Linked DNA regions of Daphnia pulex. The protein of the gene in region 1 purifies or fractionates together with the protein of each later gene. This does not show direct contact. Links are inferred from orthologs where the notes say so. Each region holds a gene or a part of one and is shown in the gene's direction. Other genes may lie near its edges.

Evidence for each region.
Region 2: the proteins of coatomer subunit zeta-1-like (region 1) and coatomer subunit beta-like fractionate together in Homo sapiens (co-fractionation; 8 studies listed by BioGRID and IntAct, with this or other methods). This does not show direct contact. The link is inferred for Daphnia pulex from reciprocal best matches to the Homo sapiens genes COPZ1 and COPB1.

Annotation. Positions count from the first base shown.
Region 1 is NC_060024.1:1,294,661-1,298,402, reverse strand, and holds coatomer subunit zeta-1-like, read left to right. Parts: upstream 1-1,715; 5' UTR 1,716-1,905; coding exon 1,906-2,097; intron 2,098-2,186; coding exon 2,187-2,432; intron 2,433-2,497; coding exon 2,498-2,631; intron 2,632-2,706; coding exon 2,707-2,797; intron 2,798-2,996; coding exon 2,997-3,044; 3' UTR 3,045-3,153; downstream 3,154-3,742. UniProt on the Homo sapiens protein: The coatomer is a cytosolic protein complex that binds to dilysine motifs and reversibly associates with Golgi non-clathrin-coated vesicles, which further mediate biosynthetic protein transport from the ER, via the Golgi up to the trans Golgi network.
Region 2 is NC_060020.1:2,118,608-2,123,047, reverse strand, and holds the start of coatomer subunit beta-like, read left to right. Parts: upstream 1-1,610; 5' UTR 1,611-1,762; intron 1,763-1,917; coding exon 1,918-2,298; intron 2,299-2,362; coding exon 2,363-2,623; intron 2,624-2,686; coding exon 2,687-2,879; intron 2,880-2,949; coding exon 2,950-3,068; intron 3,069-3,126; coding exon 3,127-3,255; intron 3,256-3,319; coding exon 3,320-3,582; intron 3,583-3,654; coding exon 3,655-3,966; intron 3,967-4,029; coding exon 4,030-4,252; intron 4,253-4,312; coding exon 4,313-4,440. Other genes in the region: uncharacterized protein LOC124192347, read right to left, coding at 1-37, 297-363. UniProt on the Homo sapiens protein: The coatomer is a cytosolic protein complex that binds to dilysine motifs and reversibly associates with Golgi non-clathrin-coated vesicles, which further mediate biosynthetic protein transport from the ER, via the Golgi up to the trans Golgi network.

The DNA of each region.
Region 1 (3,742 bases):
AGTTTATCATCTCTTCTGTCATGTCGATCGTAACGCTTCCTTTTTCTGTCCGCTTCTTCTCCTTCTCTCTCACGCCGGCGTTTGTATTGACGGCATTGAGCTCTAACATGCGTAGTGGAGTTGCACTCCCAGCATGTTCTCGGTATACCAGCATGTTGACTGGAAGGGTGGCTTTTTCCTTTGTTCTGACCGTACTGGGCAGGAAGTGCTTGCTCTTTGTGCTGTGATTCATCTCTGTTCGGCTTACTGAGATAGGCAGTATCAGATGTCGATTTTGCTTCTTCGTCGTTGCGCAGGCTCTTGTCCAATGCTATAAGGCGAGTAGTCAGTTTCTTGAGAGTTTTCTCTGCAACAGGCGTGCTGTCCCATGCAAAGGCAAAAACACGGAACTCTGGAGGAAGCGACATGAGTATCTTTGCCATTATTTGATTATCATCAATAGCTATGTTGAGGCTCTTCAGACGGAATGCTATCTGTTCCAACTCAGTCAGGAAGCTTGATACACTTTGGCTTGGTCGAAATGTGCATCCATAGAACTTTGTCCACAATAGAGGTGCATTGTCTGCGGCATCTTCTTCATACTCAGTCTCCAATTTCATCCACATCTCTTGGGCTGTGCTACAAGACATCAGGATCCTTGATTGGTCTTCTTTGATGGCGCCAAATATGTTCTGCATTGCCGTGGTATTTCTCTTGTTCCAGTTGGTTATATCAGCTGCATTTTCAATCACCTGGTCAGCATTGCGTCTCTGATTGTGGTAACAAAACGAGAAGATGGTTAGGTTTGTGATATCCATGGCAGCCTCACATTATCTCAATGTGGAATCTCCCTCACATCATCTCGATGTGGAATACCTCTCACATTATCTCAATGTGGAATCTCCCTCACATCATCTCGATGTGGAATACCTCTCACATTATCTCAATGTGGAATCTCCCTCACATCATCTCGATGTGGAAAAACACTCAGCTGTCTCCTAGATGCTTGCAACTCTAGCACACACTTGTCCACCATCATATGATGGAATTTAGCCAGAGTGACCAAACAGATTGAGAAAGAAACACAAAAAAAGAGAAATGTCCAGCAAACACAAACACACAAAAAACAAAATCAAGTGGCAGAGATTAAGCACTCACGCCGGGATCTAAGTTTGTCAATTTAATAGTTGGTACCACGCCACAGATAGGCATCTCATATCGCGTTGTTGTCAGGCACGGATCACACACATAAAGAAAACAATAAATCATCAATAAACTTACTTCAGCAGGTTGCCGTTGAGTCCCGTTCACGACTTCCCAAAGCTCAACACTTTGTAACGCCAGCTTCATTCCAAATTTCCAAGACGCGTAGTTTTTCCCATTCAGACACCATACAACATGGCGGCGGCCATCTTTCTCCATCACTCCAGAAAAGAATTTCTAATTTCTTGGGAACAGTTAGCCGGGGACACACACAAAAAAAATAATTGTTCAGACAGAGTAGCTGTTAGCTGTGCGTACAGCTGGGCCCATAACCTGTTGATATAGAAATTAACACGTGAACCTGTTTGCTGCAAAGAACGCTTTGTATTGCTACTCGCCTAGCCACAATCGTCAACAGCACTGAGTCCCCCTCTCTTATTCCTTTGTCTGGGTAGGTCCTTCTCCCCCTCTCTTCTTTCCTGGCTATCCTGCGTTGCCGCACTGTCCAGTTTGTTTATCTTTTATACTCAACAAGCAGTTCCTAGATGGCGCTAACGACTGGCCCTTTTGCTTTTTCCCGTATCTTTTAAAACAAAAATAGATTTATCTCGTTAATGGTTTGTGATCAGTATAGGAAATTTATAAAATTTATAAGTTAATTTTTTTAATGGTTAATATAATTTTCTTACCGACATAAGAATCGTACTCTAGTTGAAGTACTCCATGGCGATACTACGCGAAAGAAACTGCCAACGTAGCATACAGGACTACCGGTTGTCAAGTAAGAACAACTCATCAACATCTCGAACGGAACATTTTCATTCACCCGTCTGTACAACGGTTCATCTTATTTCTCTTAGCTCTTGTGTTGTGGTGTATTGCATATTGTATAAAGAAATGGATAACCATGTCCTGGTAATATAGCTACTTCTAGTACTACATTTTCTTTAATCAGCTGTGTCAGACCAACAACAAAATGATACATTTTTATAAAATTTCTTTAGGAACCTTCTCTGTATGTAATTAAAGGAATTGCAATCCTTGACAATGATGGTAAACGTATTCTTGCAAAGTACTATGACCCAAACACATTACCCACTGCAAAAGAACAGAAGGTTTTTGAAAAAAACCTATTCAACAAAACACACCGAGCTAACACGGAAATCATTATGCTAGAAAACATGACTTGTGTCTACAAAAGCAATGTGGATCTTTATTTTTATGTCATGGGAAGTAGCCATGAAAATGAGGTAAAAGATGCTCACAAGTTGTTCACAAAATATTAGTAAATTGGAATTTTTTTCCCCTTATTTAGTTGATCTTGGTTAGTGTTTTAAACTGCTTGTATGATTCCATCAGCCAAATACTTAGAAAGAATGTGGAAAAGCGTTCTCTAATGGAAAATCTTGATGTGGTTATGCTTGCTTTGGATGAAATATGTGATTCTGGGTATGGTTTCCATTCAAACATGTAATCATGACAAGTTTATCAAGATACTATTACCAGTTTACTATTGTGTTGCAGGATTATTCTGGAATCAGATCCCACTGCTATATCATACAGAGTAGCTCTTCGGAATGATGACATTCCAATTGGGGAGCAGACAGTGGCCCAGGTATGTTTGATAACTTAACTACTTAATCAGATATTTAAATAAGGTTTTTTTCAATTTAATTAAATTTAAAATTGAAATTAGTTTGAAATTTTCATTTTCCAGCAGCTACTTCTAAACTAAACAATATACATTTTAAAAATTACTATAATTAAGGGAGAAGATCAATAAATTCTTTAATTATTTCCGTCTGATTTTTTAGGTGCTTCAATCGGCAAAGGAGCAGCTAAAATGGTCTCTTCTGAAATAAGGATCTAAACTATTTCAACCACAATAAATTCCGGTCGTTGAATCATCCTTATCATTATTTTTCTCCTTTTCCAAGTTGTTCTATAAAAAAAATACAAATCTGTTCTGTTGATGCCATCTTTATCAAAATAGCAGATAAATAATTAAAATCAATCCACCGTATTAGAAATTAAATTTTTTGTAACTTGTAACACGCATTATATAACCTGATGGTGTGCTTGGTATTTTACAGCGATCTTTAAAAGATTGTTTTCATTCATCAAAGAATAGTTTGCCTTTTTCTGACATTTACTTCGGGTTTACAAACGAATGAAAGCACAAAAGAAATTTGTTTCTATCACAACAGAGATGTGAATTTCCAATATTTTTCAGGTTGCACTGTAATTTAGGTGAAATGTTCTTGGTTTTAATTCGGATAGAACGTTATTCTCTTACAGTACAGCTTAAGTACAGCATTACACCAACTAAAGTTTGCCAGTTCATTTCGAAGTTATTGATAACGTCAATCTTTCGTCGATTAAAAGGTAAAAAAAAAAAAAAAAAAAAAAACGTTTCACTCGTCGTGTCTTTATAACGATATTGAATTCCAGGCTTGGACAGAGCGCATCAGTTTTTCGCTCCGTTGATCTATCAGCGATAAGCGGTGATTTAATCGACCCAATTGAAAAGGATCGGTAACGAATCGTTGTGTTTTTTTTT
Region 2 (4,440 bases), on another chromosome or scaffold:
ATTGTTAGGCTGCCCTCCAAACTTGCGTCTTTTTTCTCTGTATTAGAAAAATGAAATGAAATTTGTTTGTTGCTTGATGAACAAACTTAAGTTAAATTTACAGTTAAAAACTCAACCAAAGTGTTTTTTAACTGAAATTATTTTCAGTTAACGCCCTTTGATGGTAAGGGGCAAGGCACTTGGAAGCGATAGCAATACAATAACAGTTATCAGAAAACTTAGCGTGAGAGTTTCCGAGTAAGGTTATTTGAAGGGTAAAATTACGACATTAACGGACTTTTCAGTGAATTCCTTACCTTCACTGAAATGTGACAAAACAGGCGATACAAACAAAAAAACTAAAAATAGAAGGAACAATCGCATGATGAACTCTCAACAGCGAATGACGACACCCCAATTAAAAATGAACTCGAAAATCAGAAAGTCTTGTATACTGGCCGATGACTTGGAGCCGTCTGTTCACTAACAGCAGTTGTCTTTCTTTATAGCTAGCTGTAACATCATGCTCTGTGGTGCCTGTGAGGAAAAAATCAAATGTCTTTCCGATTGCCGGTGGCGTCAAAAGAAGAAGACCCTAGTTTCCCTCTTACGGGAAAGCGTGATGTTTATCTATCGTGAGGATGGCCTCATTCTACCCACACGCTTTTTTTAAATATAAGATAATTTCTTTTACGTTGAAAATATAACATGTTTGCATTATAAAACGTTTTTTAAAAATTTAAAGATATTTTACTTGAATACTTGAACTTTTTTTAGATGGAAGGCCTACCAACACAAAAAAAACAAATTTTAAGGAAAGATCATCGTAGACGCAACAATGATAGTCGCGGAAATTTCCATGATTCCTTTTGCTCAATGCCTCAGTTAGTTTAAAACGATGAAAATAAATAATAAATGAAAAGTATCCTGAACAAACATAATTACATTTGATGCTAATAACATAAAACATAAATATTTAATATCGATTAGCTATAGGCTACAGTGAGCCGAGCGAACCAACGAAGTAACGACCATATTAAACGTATTAAAGCTGGTAACTACGAAATAGAGATATAACGGCCAGTACCTTCGGATGCTAATCGTTTCCAATTCTAATTTTCTGTGATTAATGGCAAGACGATTAATATGCAATCTGCATATTGTGAAGCAGTGAAGGTATGGAGATTGTGGCCATCTGCACATTCTATTTCGAACGAACATTTCTATTATCAAATAACTAAGAACAAATTGTATCGTCTCTTAAAGGCTTTGCCGATTAAATGGACGAAAAATTCTAACTAACTCCCATCAAAATACCTTTACACATTGAAAACAAACTGACCATTGCCGAAGATGGAGACGTGACTGGTGCTGGTCTTCAAACCTGCTTCAAACGTGTCGAAGAAGTTCACAGTGGTTCAGAGAAACATGGGTGACGATGACTAGGCAGTTGACACATTGTTTATCCGGGAAACCCACAAAAACTCTTGTTTTGATGGTACAGAGAGAGAGTATGCCTGGAAAATCTGGAAACCAACACAAGCTGGGACTGAATATCTATTTTGAATAAAAATAACAAAAAAACAACGTCAAAATTAAAACTCATAATGGCAACATGGCTGCGTGGTTGTCAATTTTACGAATTAAGATCTGTCGCTTACCGACTGACGTGGGTATTTTCTGACATTCTGCAACGTCAAAGGTTTCGTGAATTTCCTTCGTTTCATATAGTTACGGCTCACACAGAAAACACAACAAGCCGTTGTAATACAAAGAAATCAAGGCAAGTCATCCGACATTTTGGAATCGTTATTCAGTGTTCAACAAATACCATCGTTATAGATTTCGAATGGGTTGCGGGTCGCTGTCACAATAACATTTCATCGAGCGTAAACCGGTCCAAGTTTTCACGATTCATGTATTGTTTTGTTTTTACAGATGTCTGTGACTGAGCAACCTTGTTATACCCTCATCAGTACTCCAGATTCTGACTATCCACCTCCAGATCAGCTGCGAAAAGAGTTGGAAATTGGAGATATCAAAGCCAAGATTGATGCTTTAAAAAAGGCCATTTACATAATTTTAAATGGAGAAAAGATTCCAGGAATCCTCATGGCAGTGGTCAAATTTGTGCTGCCACTTCAGGATCATAATGTCAAGAAACTTCTGTTGATATTCTGGGAAATCATTCCAAAGACTTCAGCAGATGGAAAACTCTTGCATGAAATGATTCTCGTCTGTGATGCTTACAGGAGAGATTTGCAACATCCAAATGAATTTATTAGAGGATCAACATTACGTTTTCTTTGCAAGCTTAAGGTAAGCCAATTTCTTTTATACCTTAATTTATTGATAAGCTAATCTTTTGTAATTTACTTTTTAGGAACCTGAAATCTTAGAACCGTTGATGCCATCGATCAGGTCGTGTTTGGAGCACCGACATTCTTACGTTCGACGCAATGCTGTTTTGGCAATTTACACAATTTACCGCAATTTTGATTTCCTCATTCCTGACGGGCCAGAATTGATTGCCAATTTTCTAGAACGTGAACAGGACATGTCCTGTAAACGTAATGCATTCATGATGTTGATTCACGCTGACCAAGAAAGGGCGCTCTCCTATCTTACCTCTTGCATCGATCAAGTAATAGAACTATTTTAAGGTTTCCAATTTCCAAACAAACTTAAGGAAAACAAAATCTGTTAGGTTCACTCCTTCGGTGATATTCTGCAATTGGTCATCGTTGAACTTATCTACAAAGTGTGTCACGCCAATCCTAGTGAGCGATCGCGTTTCATTCGTTGTATCTACAGTCTCTTGAATGCCACCAGTCCGGCCGTTCGCTACGAAGCTGCTGGCACTCTAGTAACCTTATCGTCCGCACCGTCGGCTATTAAAGGTATTATTCATATTCACTAATATTTAATTTGGGTTTCCAACTTAATATGTTTTCTCTTCTTCTTGAACAGCTGCTGCTAGTTGCTACATCGAAATTATCTTAAAGGAAAGCGACAATAATGTGAAGTTGATTGTGCTGGATCGTTTGATCGCCTTGAAAGAGCAGCCGAATCAAGAACGTGTCTTGCAGGTATCTTGAATTTAATCATTCACATGTTACAAAATATTAATTATGTAATTCATTTCAGGAATTGGTGATGGACATCTTGCGGGTATTGGCTACTCCAGATTTGGAAGTACGAAAGAAGACACTATCCCTTATACTTGATTTAGTGTCTTCGCGAAACATAGAAGATATCGTGCTCGTTTTGAAAAAGGTAAGAATTCCGGTGAAATGGTAAATCGATAGGAATAATTTTCTATTGATGAATTATCTTGTAGGAGGTAACAAAGACGCACAACACAACCGAGCATGAAGATACGGGAAAGTATCGGCAACTTTTGGTGCGCACTCTTCACTCGTGTTGCATCAAGTTTCCTGACATTTCTGCGACCGTCATCCCTGTACTGACTGAATTCCTTTCCGACACCAACGAGCTAGCAGCCGCCGATGTTTTGGTCTTTGTTCGCGAAGCGATTCAGAAGTTCGAAGGACTTCGTCCATTAATCATCGAAAAACTTTTAGAAGCCTTTCTTTCCATCAAGTAAGTTTAAATAACTCCATTTCGTTTTTACTGGCAGCAATTCTACATTAGATGTTTTTTTTTTTTTCAAAGATCCGTCAAGGTGCACCGTGCAGCAATTTGGATCTTGGGCGAATACGCCACTTCGGCTGATGACATTCGTTCAGTTATGTCCAAAGTGCGACAATCGCTTGGCGAAATTCCAATCGTGGATGACGAAATCCGAAAAGCAGCAGGAGAGCAGACCGATCCGGAAAATCCTTTAGCACAGGGAACTGGGAGCGTTACTAATCCTGTTGCTTCTAGCGCCCGCTTGGTAACTGCAGATGGTACATACGCTACGCAGTCTATCTTCAGTGCTGCCGTAACAACCGCCAAAAAAGAAGAAAGGCCTCCTCTTCGAAAGTATGTCAATTCTGTTGATGTCGTTCCATTTAGCATTGCATTCATAATTAAATTTCTTTGTAGATATCTGATGGAAGGCGATTTCTTCATTGGTGCATCAATGGCTACAACTATGACAAAGCTGGCCTTACGTTTTGTTCAACAAGTGTCGAACCCGCAAACGCAAAACCAGTTTTGTGCCGAAGCCATGCTAGTGATTGCAGCGATTCTTCATTTGGGTCGTTCGGGACTGCCTCAGAAACCAATTAGCAATGACGATGCTGAAAGATTGGGGCTTTGCCTTAAGGTAAGTTATCAATGGTAAAAAATGAGTGAACCCCCATTACAATTTTCTTTTTCGACATAGGTGCTCTCGGATCGATCACCGATTTTAGTAGAAGTATTTACCGATGCCTGCCGTAGATCCATTTCACTTATGTTAGCTGCCAAAGCTGAGGAAGAAGCTGCTGCCCAAAAGAACTTAGAAAAGAACAG